Alligator mississippiensis: one gene and its partner. The protein of the gene in region 2 purifies or fractionates together with the protein of the main gene of each other region. This does not show direct contact. Links are inferred from orthologs where the notes say so. Each region holds a gene or a part of one and is shown on either strand. Other genes may lie near its edges.

Region 1 (7,661 bases), on a different chromosome or scaffold from region 2:
GATAGGTAGGGGGATCCTGGATCCTGCACCCCAATGCTGCATCCTAGCAGGAGGAACCCCTGCCCACTCCCCTCTCAAGTCCTACATGTGTGGCTGGTTGCTGCCAGGCTGCGCTCCATGCCCAGCAGGGAGATTCCCACCCATGGGTATCAGGGAACAGGGCGAAACCCATGGGCTATTTTGTCAGGGAGTCACAAATGCAGGAAAAGGAACAACATGAGACAAACTATTTGCATGAAGGTCTATCGCTTCTCATCCATACCCCAGGGCTGTGTCACTTGGCTGCTGGTGGTAATATCCTTCAATGCAGCTAATCTCATTTTGTCTGTCTACAGTGAAACCAGTGACCTGGTTCCTTTATTTCTGCCTCCTCAGCATGTGCCCCTCACCCACGCTCCTGAGCAGGCAGCACCCAAGGGGAGAGCTTAAAGAACAGCAGCAAACCTCCTCCTTTCCTTTCTGGGTGTCAGAATCTGGGTTCTCCTGAAATGGGCGCTGTTGACCTAACTGCTCTATATCAAAAGCAAACCCAGAGAGGCTCTTACCAGTCCCACCTTCCATGAATGAAACGCTGGATAATCAGAAAGAATCCAATTGACTTTTCATCATTTTTCCTAGGAAGGTGGATTTTCCCCTTCATTCCTCTATACTGGGGGGCTAGAGGCCTGCACATGCATTGTCCTCATGTTGTCAGAACCACAGTGTCTAGGATATAAGCATGGAAAGGAGGAGAAGCTTTCACCAGTTAACCTGAAAACAATGCTTTTCATGGAACATCGTGCTTGGTCTTGTGTTTGCCCAGCTGGGAGTAGCTTGCTACTTGCACTGCATCACTGGAAAGGATCCAGCCTGCCTAATTCCACCTCACTTGATTCTTTGTCTTGATCAGTATCACCAGACAGATTTAAAAAAAAAAAAGGGGGGGGTTGGTTTTTTTACTTCCGAGAGCTGTAGGTGTTATCTTTTTAATTGTTTCCTAAGGCTTAAATCTTGTTAACTCAGAAGTTATCTGCACACTCTGGCTGGCACTCTTTGGAGCCGTGCTTTATGAGTAGTATTCCGGTAATGCTTCCATCACTACTACCCTACTTCAAGATCAGGGCCATGTTGTATTGGGTGCAGGACGGACGACCTCATGTAAGGTGAGCCCTGCCCCAAGGAGCCCACAGTCTAAACAGAAAGGAAGGAGGAGTATTCTTGGGCCACAGTGAAATGAAGTGACTTGCCTACAGTCACCTAGAGAGTCAGTGGCAGTGCTGAGACTTGAACTTTGGTCCCCTGAGTCCCAGAACAGTACATACCAACAAGGCCACCCTTCTGGCAATGCTTTTCCTTTAAGACTTCTTAATATTCTTCTCCTTTCTGGAGGTTCTTGATTGGCAGCAGTCAGCGCCAGCAGGAGGGACCTGCACTTCTGCCTCTACACGTGCCCAAGTCTCATCTCCTCTCTTACCACAGGGATATGGGAGCTGATGGCCCAGCAGGGGCCAGGAGGCAACTGCTGCGGCTCTGAGAGAGCTGGGTTCACTCCCTACCTTGAAGGGCCATAGTACATTGTGGGCTGAACACCTCCATGTGTCCTCACTGCCACCTATGTGACAGGGCTTAGGGAACACATCCAAATGGGCTGGACAATACTCAGCTGGGTTTAAATTCACAGCTGGAGGAGGGAGGAAATATACCTCTGCCCTCTCAGCCAGCCACCTCTGTGCTCTCGGCCATTGTTAATTTTCCCAAGGTCCTAAATAAAACCCATAAAGCAAGGAGCCAGAGCCAGTCAGAAAAAGGGAAAAAGTGTTTTGGGTTTTTTTAACTCTTAGGAAGCATCCAGTTGTAAATGCTGCCTTGGCTTCTGCAGGAATTGGAGCAGAGAGGTCTCACATGCCCATTCTCTTCTCTGAGCCGGGTGTCCCAGCCAGACTACATCTCCCACAGTCCCCTCTGCTTTTGGAAGGGGGTGGCAGGGTATCACCGGATATTTTGGCTGTAGTACATCATGGGAGGTAGGCATGAGGAAACCAAATGCTGGACCAGTCCCAAACCCTGCTTTGTTTGTTTTCAGATGTTTGGGATTTGAAGAGGAAAATCTCCATCTTCTAAGGGAAGCGGATGTTCTCCTTGAAGAGCCGCCTTTGGTTAAAAAGCCAGTTTTCTATTAACAAACCACCCTTTCTGATTAGACCCATGTCCCAGGTCTGCTTCTCTGGGACCTTGGTCAAGGTACAGACCTGAGGATAAGACAACAGTGCTTATTCTTGTAAGGATAATGTGCCACATGAGCATGTCTTAGCAAACATGTCCCCAAGGCCGGATTAATACATAGGCAAACTAGGCACATGCTTAGGGCCTTAAGTGAAGAAGTGGCCCGGTTGTGCTTATTTGACATGTTACTTTTTTCACTCAATAATTATAATATAAATATACAGTATTAAGTAGGGAGGGGACCACGAATTTGTTTGCCTAGGGCCCACTAAAGGGTTAATCCCTCCTGCAACCAGTTAGGCACGTGCTTAACTTCCAGCGATTAGGTAGTCCCATGGACATCGCACCAGTGAAGTTAAATATGTCAATATTGCCAACTCTGCAAGCCTTACAGTGTTGGGTGCTATACGTGGGAGCCCCTGGTCCCAGTCGTGATTCAGTAGGAGATTCCCTGCTTTCACTTTAACAAAAAGGTAAGTTTCTCGTCCTTGTGGGCTAGAAGAAAGCCTGCAAAGGCTTGGAAACCAGAAAGCAAATAAACCAGTTGTTTTTTAAATACCCATGGTTTTTGAGATGGCCTCAGGACTTTGTCTCAGCCCAGCTTGTGAATTTTGAAGCCTTGTGGCTGACGGTCCTGGAAGATGGAAGCGGCACCATTTTGGCAGAAAAATAGTAAGCAATAAGATGGCAATGTTCACTTTCCTCCATCATTTAATAGTGTTGGAGTGATGTAGTAGCCATGATTGTCCAGGAAATATGCGAGAGGCAAGGATTTTTGTGGGCGATATCTTTTATTGGACCAACTGTATAGTTGGGATAGACTTAGACAAGCTTACGAAAGATGTCCAGTAAAAAATATCATCCACAAAAATCCTTGTCCCTAAGCCAGTAGTTCTCAACCTTTTTAGACTCAGAGCCCTGAGGCACCCCTGACTAAGCACAAGGCACCCCTTGGAAAATGCCACCTCTTCATTTTTACTACAGAAAAATAACAGGGCAATTCTTCTGTTGCAAAGAACTCAGAAAGGCCATAACAGGGCAGAAAGATTTTTAACACTATGACTTCCTATTTGAAATCTCTGGGTTTTTCTTGTGAATCGTGTTTACATACCTGCTAGCGCTAACAGTATGTGGCACCCCCAGCACCCTTGAAAGGATCTCTCAGCACCCTAGTTGAGAATCACTGCTCTTAAGTAATGAAATATTTTCCATCCTTCTCATGGCTTGTGTGCTGTTTGCCTCTTGCCTGTGGAATTTGTCTGGGCAATGATAGGATCATTCTGGTTGGTTTCACTCCCATTTTTAAGCCTCTTGCAAGGGAGGGAGTGGGGCTTTTTATCCCAGCAGTGAATTTGACTTGATTTCCTTTCCAAATGGACAACACTAGCGGTAGCATATGTAGGGGTGGGCAGCGGGACAGCAGCCCCAGAAATTACTTGTTTTTGCCTCTAAACGCTGGTATGAATACTCAGAGTCCAAACAATAGGTGGACTCCTCTCTCCAGCTGTGCTCTATGCATTTAAAGACAAAGCTCGGGTATGCTTTGCCAATAGGAAGACCAGAACTGATTTTTCTTTCACATGGGGAGCTGATTGGCAGGGCCCTCATCCTTAGACTGGTAGTTCTGAGGCAGGCTCTGCCTTTTCGTTTCAGGTGCATACCAGGCCAGGAATGTGTTTCATCCCTGTGGACTAGAGCACTCCAGCGGGGTGCAGGACTTTGCTAGAGATGCAAAGACTTGAAGGTTAGGCAGGATCACTGCAATAATCTAATCTGACTTCCTGCATCGTGCAGACCAGCAAACCTCGCCCAGGAATTCCTGCGTCGGGCCTATACACTTATGGTTTGAGCTAGGCATCTCGGCTCAGCTCCCAGTCTATATTCAGGGAAGGGGGACACAGGGTGTACCAGGTCCCACGCTGCTCAGATGCAGACCTGCCCCCCATCCCAGTCCTCCACTGTCCTGGCAGCATGGCAGAGAGGAGATCACAGGTTGCAGCTTGGTAGGTTTTCATGTGGCTCCTCTTTCAAAAGCAATTGCCCCTGGGAGGACCTGCAGTTGTTACTGTGCCCTCCACATGCTGCACTTGTGTACCTGATGCACTCACGCAACCAGGTAAGTGGTGCCCACCAGGCCACACGTGACACATGCAGCCAGCTGTTGTGCTGGCACCGCCATCGTCAGAGGCTTTAAGCAACATTTTGGGGGGGGATGTGTGAGACTTCAAGCAACAGCGCGCGCGTGTGTGTGTGTGTGTGTGTGTGCGCGCGTGTGGCGGAGGAAAGGAACAGGAGAACCTGGCCTTGTGTGTGCAGGAGAGAAGGACGAACACATCAGCTGAGACCTCCAGAGGGCAGCGTTCAAGCTCTCTGTCCTCCCAAAAAGCTTCACTTCCAGGTTTTCAAGGCACTGTGACTTTAAGCTGCAGCCAGGGAGCGGGGGGGGGGTGTGTGGAAGAGTCTGCATGAGAAACACACAAGCCTGCAGCCAGCCAAGGAGGAAGAGTGTGAGTGCAGGAGCCTATCCTCAGCGCCTTGCTCTCTCCCCCTTTTCTTTTTTTAATGCCCCTACAGATTCCTTGGAACTTCTTATTTCCCCCCGCTTGCACTGACTCAAACACATCTTTTAATCTCCGGGCCCAGGCCCCCCCCTTCCTCTCCCCACCACACACACTCAGCCTTCACACTCTGCTTCCCCCGAGTTCACACCCGCACACACTCCACTGAAAAACAGAAGCAGTTGTCAGCAAGAACGAGGGGAAGACAGCCGGCCAAACCCCAGTCTCAGGGCACTGGAGATCCGCCTCCCTTGTGTGCACACACACACGCGCGCATACACACTCACACACACAGCCCTAGAGAGGAAGAGGCGGTGAACAGCAGAGGAGCTGGGGCTGATCAGAAATAAGGAAGACGGGAAAGAGCTCGCTTGCTGCTTTTCTCCACAGGCATCATGTGGATCTCTTGGTGAACGGGCTTGGGGGGAACGTACCCCCTTTTTCTTCCCTCCCCCTGCCCCAAGCCCTCCCTCCCCCTTCACAGCTGGCATCAAGGGGGCAGCGGGGGGCTGCCTCTGCCGCTGAAGCCTGGGGGAATAAAATACAGTAAATAAGCTTTTTTTTTCTAAATAAGAAAGAGAAGGGAAAAAATTTTTCTGGCAAGATGGCCGACCTGGAAGCTGTCTTAGCCGATGTGAGCTACTTGATGGCCATGGAGAAGAGCAAGTCCACTCCGGCAGCCAGAGCCAGCAAGAAGATTCTCCTACCTGAGCCCAGGTGAGCCCAGGCAGGTGTGGGGCAGCTGGATACCTAGGCCCAGCCACATCCCCTCCTCCCCCGGGAGGAGGTCAGTGTTCGGTGGGGTATTGCAAAGGACCCACCACCTTGCCCTCCAACTCCCCCTCCAAAATGCCCACCCCCAGGGCCTCCCTGGAGGCAGAGCTGCCAGCCCAGTGTGGGCAGAGGGGTCTGGGTGGCATTGCTTTAGGAGGGGAGCAGTGTGTGTGACTGGGCATGGCGGGGCAGTGGGGGTGGGGGGGAAGCTGGTGCTTTCTGTCATGTCGAAGCTGTTGCTTCCTGATTCTTCTCCCTCACGCCAAGCCCAGGTCCTTCTGTTTTCCTGCGTCCCTCTGTGTGCCTGCCTCCTTTATCCCCCACCCAGGGAGAGGGGAGAGAGGGTGGTGATTATACCCCCTCCACTTCTTTCAAACCCACCCCTCAGACCCCAAATCTAGGTTCCCCTCCCCTTCATGTCTGTCAGCGTGCAGCAACCGGGGCTGTGCTCTCCTTGCCGAAGCAGCCCTAGCATCCAGGACTAGTGAACCCGGGCACCTTGTAACAGTCAGGGATGTTCGTTAGAGATTGTCAAGCATGCACCTGCGGGCAGGCACAGGGGACGCTGTCTTGACCTAGGGGTACACAGACCCTGGCATGTTCTCACACCTTCTGATCCCCCACCCTTCGCAGGGTCTGGACTCAGCCCCTGCCTGGCCCAGCCTTGCCGTGCTGTGCATCCATCAAGCACATGGTCAAGGGTCCATGTAGTGCAGCCCAGGGCAGGAGATGTAGCACCCATGGCACTTTCTTCCTCCCAGAGGACTTCAATGGGACCACCAGGCTGCTGTGGTCATGGCCCAGCCAGGAAAATGCAGCTGGTTCTGGGGTGTGAGGGATCTGGCAGGGAGGAGAGAAAAGGCCTTGAACCAAGGGCTCTAGGGCTGCCTGCCCCCCGCCCCTCATCTGTCTCCCCTACACATACCTCCTGTGCTAGCCATGCTGGACAGATTGGGGCTAGAGCTGTGCAGAGTGTGTCTGAGATGGGCTTATGCCTAGTGCGTGCAGGTGGGTGGGACGAAGGGATGGATAAGGAGCTGGAGGCCTGGATTGGTGGTTGCGGGGGTGAGTAAGAATTTGGAGGGAGGGGGCCAAGTCATCCAGATTCAGTGCTCTTGTCTCCAGGGAGTTTAGCTAGACTAGACCCCGCTACCCCCCGAGCAAGACCCACCCCTCAGCTTTATGGAGACAGTTTACATTCAGGTCCTGCCAGTCTCTGCCCTTCCCCAGTATCCCTGTTAAAAAGCATCTCTGCCCCACGCTGCCCCTGACAGCCACAGGCATTGCCAGGCCCTGGGAGAGGGGATCTCAGAGCTCAGGCCCCTTGTTGGCCCCAGGTCCCAAGTGCCCCCTGGGCCCATAGCACGATGGTGTTGAAGGAAGCCCAGGCCCCACCACATGGGCACGCTAGGTTAGTGATGACTTGTGGGAGACAGCAGGAAGCCAGCACCAGGCCAGGGGGTGCTGAGAGGTCACACCACCCTGGGTGATTTTGGTATGAGTGTAGTCCATCCAAATGCATGTGCGATACCCTCTGCCCACACTGCCGGTGGGGATAGACCCCAGGCTCCACAGAGGGAGATGGCAGCCTTGCTGCCTCCAGCTGCCCCCTGGTCAGCACAGCAGGGAGGCTGGCCTGGGGAGTTTTCCCTCAGATCTTTCCCTACTGGAAGTAATCACTTGTTTGGAGTGCCCCCACCTCACAATCCCACTGTCTCGGTACTCAGGCTGGGTGTGTTGACCCCCCCATGTCCCAGAACAGGATGTCTCCTAGGTCCAGGTCTGCCGAACCCCTGCCCTGAGTTGTCTCTTCCCCCCGTAGATTCACACACCTGATCCTTCCACACTGCTCCCTCCCCCCATCATTGCAGGATCAGGGTCGGCTTTGCCAGCCCTGATGGGGGCGTTGCACAGGGGGCGTCTAGGCTTAGGGGACAGAGGGCACTGGGGCAGGGTGCAGTGGAGCTCGGCCTTTGCAGGTGGGGAAGTGGTTTGGCCTTTACATGGCTGTGGGCACTGGGCTGAAGGCACAGTGAAGGTTAGGGCTGCATGGAGGGAGAAGTGGGGGCTTAGCTGGTGTGTGAGGATGGGGGCCCTAAACCAAGATGTGGGGCTCCCAGTGAGGAC
Region 2 (7,117 bases):
TATGTCCTCTATTTTTCTCTTCTGAGGACATAAAGGTGTCCAGTTTTATACCAAGAGGACAACTGGACTGTCCTCTATGATGGCGACCCGAGCCCCCAGGTCCCAGCCTCACAGTGTGTCCCCAAGCAGCCCCTTTGCAGGCTGCAACTCTGCCAGCCTTCCAGGGAAAAAGCCACGGTTTCCCACTTTTTTTTAAAGAAGAACCTATTTTTGATGCATTTTTCAAGTGTGTTTGCAACCCTTTCATATATTGTTGCGACCCGCTTTTGGGTCTTGACCCACAGGTTGAGAAACGCTGCTCTAGCCAACACTTGTGGCCTGGGTGACAGGCTGGCCACAAATTGCTGCCTTGACCTTCATGGGGGGCCGGGGGGGAGGGGGGAGTAGTGAGCTCCAGAAGATCCCAGCAAGGATCTCTTCTGGATCCCCTGAGGTGCCCTAAGGAGGGCAGAGGAAAGAGAAAGGGCTCCCAAGAGCAGGGACCAAGTCTTACCTTCCACCCAGAGCTCCTCCACGTTGGTCTCGAGATTAGCTGCCCTTAATCCTACAGCGAAAGCCCCAAAGATGAGGAGGCCGACAACCAAAAACTTGCCGCAGTTTTTTTGAATGTAACAGCCCAGTTTGAATAATAGTCTTTGAAACTTCGCTCTTAGCCACAGCGGTGCTTTTCTTCCAGTCGCCTTCCCCTGCAAGGCAAGAAAAGGGCAGCCATTGAGAGCCTGGGACAGACAGATAGACACCCACACGCACAGCGTGGGCATGCTTTTTTCCTCCTTCTTAGCAGCCTCCAAGCATCATCACATCTTCACGCAGGAGTGCCAGGAGCCTCAGAGCATCCATGAGCGGGGACATGAAGAGGACAACCTGAACCCTGGACAAGACACCTTGGACTGCAGCCCATGTCTCTGTGGAGCAGCCCTCCAGGCACCGGACACAGTGGTGTGGACTAAGACGTGCATGTAGACGGCTGAGTCTCCTATTCATAAATCAATACCCAGGTTTTGGGTGACATCACTGCAGGAGATCCGGATAAATGAGACAGCCTCTGCCTGCCCTCCCATCCAGCCCATCCCAGCCTTGCTGCAAGCAAGTCACTGCCATCAGTTCAGCAATACAAATCAGTGCAGCTCTGTAATCAAAAATTCATTCATGCTGGCAAGATTGCCAGCACAGGGGAAGCAAGAATCAAAGCAGATGAATCTCAACATGCCAAGAAAAAAAAAATCAAATCAAATCCCCCTTTCCTGTTCTTGTTACATCGGTAAAGGGGGTGGGGGGAAAGCTGCATTGTACCAATTTGCTGCCGATTCCCCCCTCCCCAGCTCCCGGCCCCGACTGTGTGTGTAGTAAATGACCGACCCACGTGGTGAGCAATGCTGCGTGATCATAAGCTTAATAGTCATTCATTTCCATAGAGTTTGGAGACGCTGTGTGATCGGAATGGTGAAGCAGAGCAGCCATCTGTAAGTTACGACAATATTTGTGAACGGAAGAGGGCAGCCACATGGATTTTTTTTTTTTTTTTTGCCTTTCCACTTCTTGCAAAGCCTTCCCCCCCAAAATAAAATTAAAGAAATCTGCTGCCTGAAATGAACCGATCTCCGAAGAAAGGCGATGCCTCCTCGCTGGGGTTTGCTAGGAACCTTTTTGCCTTGCAAAAGGGAGCGATCGGGACTATTTGGGGACGAGGGGGTTGTTGTTTCAGAGTCAGTCCCTGCGTTTGGAGCCTTTCGATATTAACAATAAAAGCGAGGATCCGGGATCATAGAAAGGGGGGAGAAAGGGGATGGGGGGACCTGACCTGCAAGGCAGATTTAAGGTGGCAATTTGTTTACAACTTTCACTTCTCCTCCAAGCGCCGGGGGTTTCAACAGGACAAAACTTCCTCTCCTCCAAGCCTGCTCCCTTCCGAGAGCCGCGATGCCCCCGCGGACTGGAAAACGTGACCGAAGGAAACCCCCGTCTTTTCTTTGCCCCCCCCCCGGAAAAAAAACCCTCGATCTTTTCCCGATCCCCATTTCCCGTCGGAAGCCGGGGCTGCCAGGCAGCGGCACAGCGCTCCGCAGGGATGGGGAGCAGCCGGGCACCCGAACCGAGAAGAGGGCGACCCACAAAAGAGGAGGGCAGGCGGCAGAGGGTCCCGGGCAGCGTTGCACGAGAGCAGCCGGGGAGCACCCCACCCCCCCGGGGGCAAGGAGGACGGCGAGGAGGGCAGGCTCTTCCGCACGGACTCACAGACGTCCCCCTCTTTCTCCCAGCATTTTATTGGTGGCTCTTTCATTCCCATCTCCTCCTTCCATGCAAAAAAAAAAAAAAAAAAATAGACACCCCCCTTTAAAAAAAAAAAAAAGATCGCTGGAAAGACACGCACACACAGACACCCAGAGGCGCGCGCACACGCACGCACAGCCAGAGGCTCATGCACCTTTGAGATCTGCTCCAAGGCGAAAGCTGCATCGCAGTAGCTCGGCCGCTGCAGACAGTCCAGCTCGGGCGCCGCAGCGCGTCTGGTCCCCCCGGTCCTCCTCCGCCTTCTGCTGCCGCTCCCCTCCGGCCCCTCGGGGTCCCTACAGCCACCGCCAGCCCCGCCGCCGCTGCTCTCCGGCTCCGAAATGTTACCAGCCGAGGCCATGTTGCCGCCGCCGGGACGGGGCTGCTGCTGCGGCGGCTGTTGTTGTTTGGGCGACCCGCGGGCTGGCTCGCCTGGGCTTCCCCGCGGCGCGCGGCGGCCGCGCTGGGGCGATGCGGGGGCACCGGGGGCTGGCTGAGCTGGCGGCGCTTCTCTCCGGCTGCTGCTGCTGCTGCTGACAAGCCACCTCTTCACACCGCGCGGGCTGCGGCGGCGGCGGCGGCTCCCGGCGAGGCAGACCCTGCGCCTTCCATTGCAACATTTCGCGAGGATCCGGGGGGCTCCGCTTCCCGCATCCAGCGTGTGTGCGAGCGGGGCGCGGGTGAGTGCGGCGGCTTCCCCCCCGGCCCGGGATCTGGGGGTTTAATCCTCCCGCTTCCACTTGGCTTCTCGCAGCTGCAAAGAAACCGGGCTCCCCCCCTCTCCTGCCCCTTTCCCCTCCCTCCCTCCCTCCCTCCCTCCCCGCCGCCTCGGTCTTGCTCCGTGGAAAAGCAAAGCCAAGCCGGGCTGGGGCTCCTCCGTGCTCCCCGTGGAGGTGCTGCCGCTGCCGCCGCTGCCTCTGGCCGCGCGGTCCCAGTCTGGCTCAGGGCAGAGCTGTCTCTGAGTCCCAGGGCGGGCGGCTCCGCGGTGCCCCTCTCCCTCTGGACGTGTGTGTGTGTCTCTCTCTCCCTCCGTGTGTGTGCAGCAGCAAGCAGCAGCTCCTTGATTCAATAGATGAGATGAAGAAGAAAAAAAGAACTCTCTCCATTTGGATAAAGAGGAGGAGGGGTGAAGGGGGGGGAGAGGAGAGAGAGGGGAAAGAAGGAGAAAAAAAAAAAAGCCCTCAAATCCCGCCCCTGGGGCTGTCAGATGGCTGGGCTTTCTGGGACGCGATTGGCTCAGGGAGGGCAGAAATTACTCAGCAAACATGACTATTATTAGCTGCTTAGCAACAGCTCACCAAAGTAGAGAGACCACCCAGGCAGGCAACCCTTGTGTGTGCATCTCCAGCTTCAGGGGGAGCCTTAAAGAGATCCAGCCTTCTTTGCATGCAATACTTCCATTAAGGAATGCCTCTCCCCCCGCACCCCCTCCCCACCTTTTCTTCTTCATTTTCTTTTCAACAACGGTTTCTTCTTTTTCTTTTTTTTTCTTTTTTTTTTTACGAGATGCTTTTAGACAAACACGCGCGCAAGCCTTTACTGCACATCCACCTTCAAAAATATATTTTGCTTTTTTTTTAAAAAAAAAGAAGAAAAAGAAACCCACGGAACGATTTCTAAAGCCTTTAAAAGAAAATCCTTTTAGAGGCACCTTGGCCTCAAGCTGCAACAAATACTGGGAGGTCCGAGCTGAATTCCCAGGCTTGCACAAATAATGACAGGGTGGTGGATACTGCGAGGGAAAGTGCCAATTTTTTTTTTTCCTCTCTCTCTCTCTCTCCCTCCCTCCCTCTCTCTTTTCTCCTTTTAACTAAAGAGGAGACAGATCCTTGCAAGAAAGGACCAGTGAGGGTGGGGGCAAATAATAATTAATAATAATAATGATGATGATGGTAATGATGATAACAACACACCATGGAAATTTAACACCCAGAAGAAGGGATGTAAAGCCGGGCAAGGAGCCCGCGCGGTTTAACTGAGCGTGGGGGTCCCGAGCCTCACTCTGCAGCAAAGTCCGCTTAATACCTCGCCCCCCCCCCCCCCGCCACAATTTTTTTTCAATGTCAAGTTCAGTCCCCAGAGGCTTTTCACGCTCCGCGTGAATCGCCAGCTTGTTTCGGGGCTATTTTTATTTGTTGGCACCCCAAAAATCAATGAGTTGCTTTTAAATAGATACTTAAAAATCAATGCATTGATTTTGGGGAGGGGGGAAGGAGATGCCCGTGTAGGGAGATGCTCCCCATCGGAAACGCTTTTAGGGGTGCAAGGGGGGGCTGTGCCTCTGTACAGGTTGCAGGAGGCGCTGTCACCCCGGAGGTGGCTTTTGCACCGCATTGCCCCCCCCATCTGCATGCATTTCAGGGACTCCCCCTCGTGCTTCTGCACCCCACCCCCCAGCCTGTACCACTGGGATGAGGGGGGCAGGTCCCACTCGGGGCCGTGTCCCTTTAAGGGGCGCGCGGTGTGTGTTCATTGAAAAAAAAAAAGAACGCGCGGGGGGCGGGGCCCAGCGGCGTCACGTGACACACGGGCGCCTGGGCCGGACTCCTCAAGTGCGCGGCGGGTTCGGCCGGGCCCTGAGGGTTCGGATTCTGAAAGGGGGGTGGAGATGGTACGACCCGAACCCGCGCTAGGCGCCCACACGGTGCCCGGGAGGGGCAGCTGCTCGGTTGGCCTCTGGCGGCCGGGAGACGTGCCAGACGAGCCGCAGTACATTCCAGGGGGCGGGCGCTGCGGCTCGCGCCCGCCAATGGTGCTCCGGGCTGGGCGCTCCGGGCCAATGGCGAGGCGGGGGGAGCCGTCCCCATTCAGTCTGCACAGCTGTGGTGGCGGGGTCGGGTCGGGCCGAGTGGGGGGGTAGAACCTGCTCCAGGGAGCGGGCTGGGCGCGCGGCTCCCGCGCCGCGGGGCCTCTGCGGAGTCGCGCGCTCTGCAGGGGGCGGATGCATGCAGCAACCGGGCGTGCAGGGGGCTTGCATGCGGGTCCCAGCACGGCGGGTGGGGGGGCAATGATCTCCCCTCTGCTTCCTGGTGCTCCCTGTACCACCCTGTCCCCCCTGCGCGGGGGCCGAGGCGCCAGCCCGCGGGCTCTGCCTCCTGCCTGGCAGCTTCGCCTCGGTAGGCCTTCCCGCCCTGTCCCGGCGCCTATAAATCCTGCCGGTTGGTGCCCCCAGTGTAATCGGGAGGCTCAGATTTAACAAGCGGTGTCTTAATCTCTCCCTCTCCCCCTGTGGTCTGTTTTTTTTTCATACCCCAGAGATGAATTACTGCGAGGATCTAATTGGCCTTGTTTCTGCCGCGCTTTAAAAAAAAATGGAGGAGGAGGAGGAAGAAGTGTCAGAGTAAAAGTCTGTCTCGACTTGGGTGGTCAGGAGCGGTGGCTGCCCCCAATTTGCCTCATTGCTGATGCATGCGAGTGCTGCATTCCCAGCGATAATGTTGTTCCTAATCAATCTGCCCTTATTTACATTTGTAAGCATTGTTGGCTTTAATATGCATGCCCTGCGCATGTCACCGCGGCTCCGCACCCGGGGCTCTCCCCCTCTCCTTTCTTTACCCTAAACTTCAAGGATCCCACAGATCGGAGTGGTGATAACACGCCCGGCTCCTCGCCTGCAGGAGGCCTTCCGAGGTGGCACCTCCCGCCGGCACTGCTCTGCCTTCCCCCGGCCCGGCTCGCTCCCCCCGGGTGGGCAGGGCCCGCCCAGTTGGCCCCTCCGGGTGCCTGGCACCAAGGACCCGCCTTCCTATATGCCCCCCTGGCATCCCGGAGCAGGAGCCTTGCAAGGGACATCGAGAGGTCACATCTAGTCCAACCCCCTGCTCGGAGCAGGACCATCCCCAGCTGGATCATCCCCAGCCAAGGCTTTGTCCGCCCGGCACAGATGCCCGGCAGAGGAGTTCAGCCCCGAGGGGTAGGGGCTGGGAGGTTGCTGATGGCTTCACGGCGACTCTTGCAGCGTGTTAGGGGGCTTCCCCCCCACCCCCCATCACTGCTCTGCCTGTAGCATCCGGTTACATGAATAAAGGAAGGACATTGAAAGAAAACACCTGCCCTCCAGATTGTTTGTTTGCCCGGCAGGAACAAAACTGACCTGGAGGGCGCTCACTCGCCTGTCATTTTTGTGCCCGGGGGTGGTTTTGCCCCCCACACCCGCCCCGATCTCCTTTTGGCATCCAGCTGTGCCGCCCAATAAGGCCTGTGGGGGGGAGGGGGGATGTCCTGCCCCGCTGTTGCAGCCCTTTGAATGCAATCGCCAAATAAACCCTGTTCTTGCTCCCCACCCCCCGCCCGGTCCTCCTCCCGGCAGAGCATCTCGCCCGTGTGTCTGGGCAGGTGCTGCGGGGGGCTCAGGGCTGGGGAGAGGGAGCCCGGCTCGGCTCTTGCCCTCGCTCTCGCCCTCGCCCTCCCTCCTCGGGACTAACAGGCGAGGGAGGCTGCTCGAGCCAACTTGTCAAAATAATGCGGCTAATTACCCCTGATCGCCTTTAATGGAGAACTGCTCCGCGCGCCACAAAGAAGCAAATGAGCGATCTCCAGCATCAGCCAGGCAGCGCAGGGCGTTGCAGCCGCCCCCGCTCCGGGCAGCCTCCTCCGGCTCTGCAGCCGCCGGGGGATCCGAGCGGGAGCAGCCCTTGTCATCCTCTCGCACACCCCAGCATCGCCTGCAAACCGGATCCTTTCCCTGGCAGCCTGCCCTCAGCCCCGCAGTGTGCACCGAGGGGGGACAGTCCCCCTGGAGAGCTTTTTAGCCCTTCTGGACCGCACCCGGGCTCTGTAACCATACACCTCGGCTCTCGCGTTTGGCAGGAGGCGCAGACCATTCATTTTCCTGATCTCTGCCATG

The links. The genes of interacting proteins can lie anywhere in the genome.
Region 1: the proteins of PTCH1 (region 2) and GRK2 purify together in Homo sapiens (affinity purification with western blotting; 3 studies listed by BioGRID and IntAct, with this or other methods). This does not show direct contact. The link is inferred for Alligator mississippiensis from reciprocal best matches to the Homo sapiens genes PTCH1 and GRK2.

The regions. Positions count from the first base shown.
Region 1 is NC_081825.1:176,049,177-176,056,837, forward strand, and holds the start of GRK2 (beta-adrenergic receptor kinase 1), read left to right. Parts: upstream 1-4,642; 5' UTR 4,643-5,364; coding exon 5,365-5,477; intron 5,478-7,661. UniProt on the Homo sapiens protein: Specifically phosphorylates the agonist-occupied form of the beta-adrenergic and closely related receptors, probably inducing a desensitization of them. Key regulator of LPAR1 signaling.
Region 2 is NC_081826.1:206,077,351-206,084,467, forward strand, and holds the start of PTCH1 (protein patched homolog 1), read right to left. Parts: upstream 3,005-7,117; 5' UTR 2,633-3,004; coding exon 2,426-2,632; intron 687-2,425; coding exon 494-686; intron 1-493.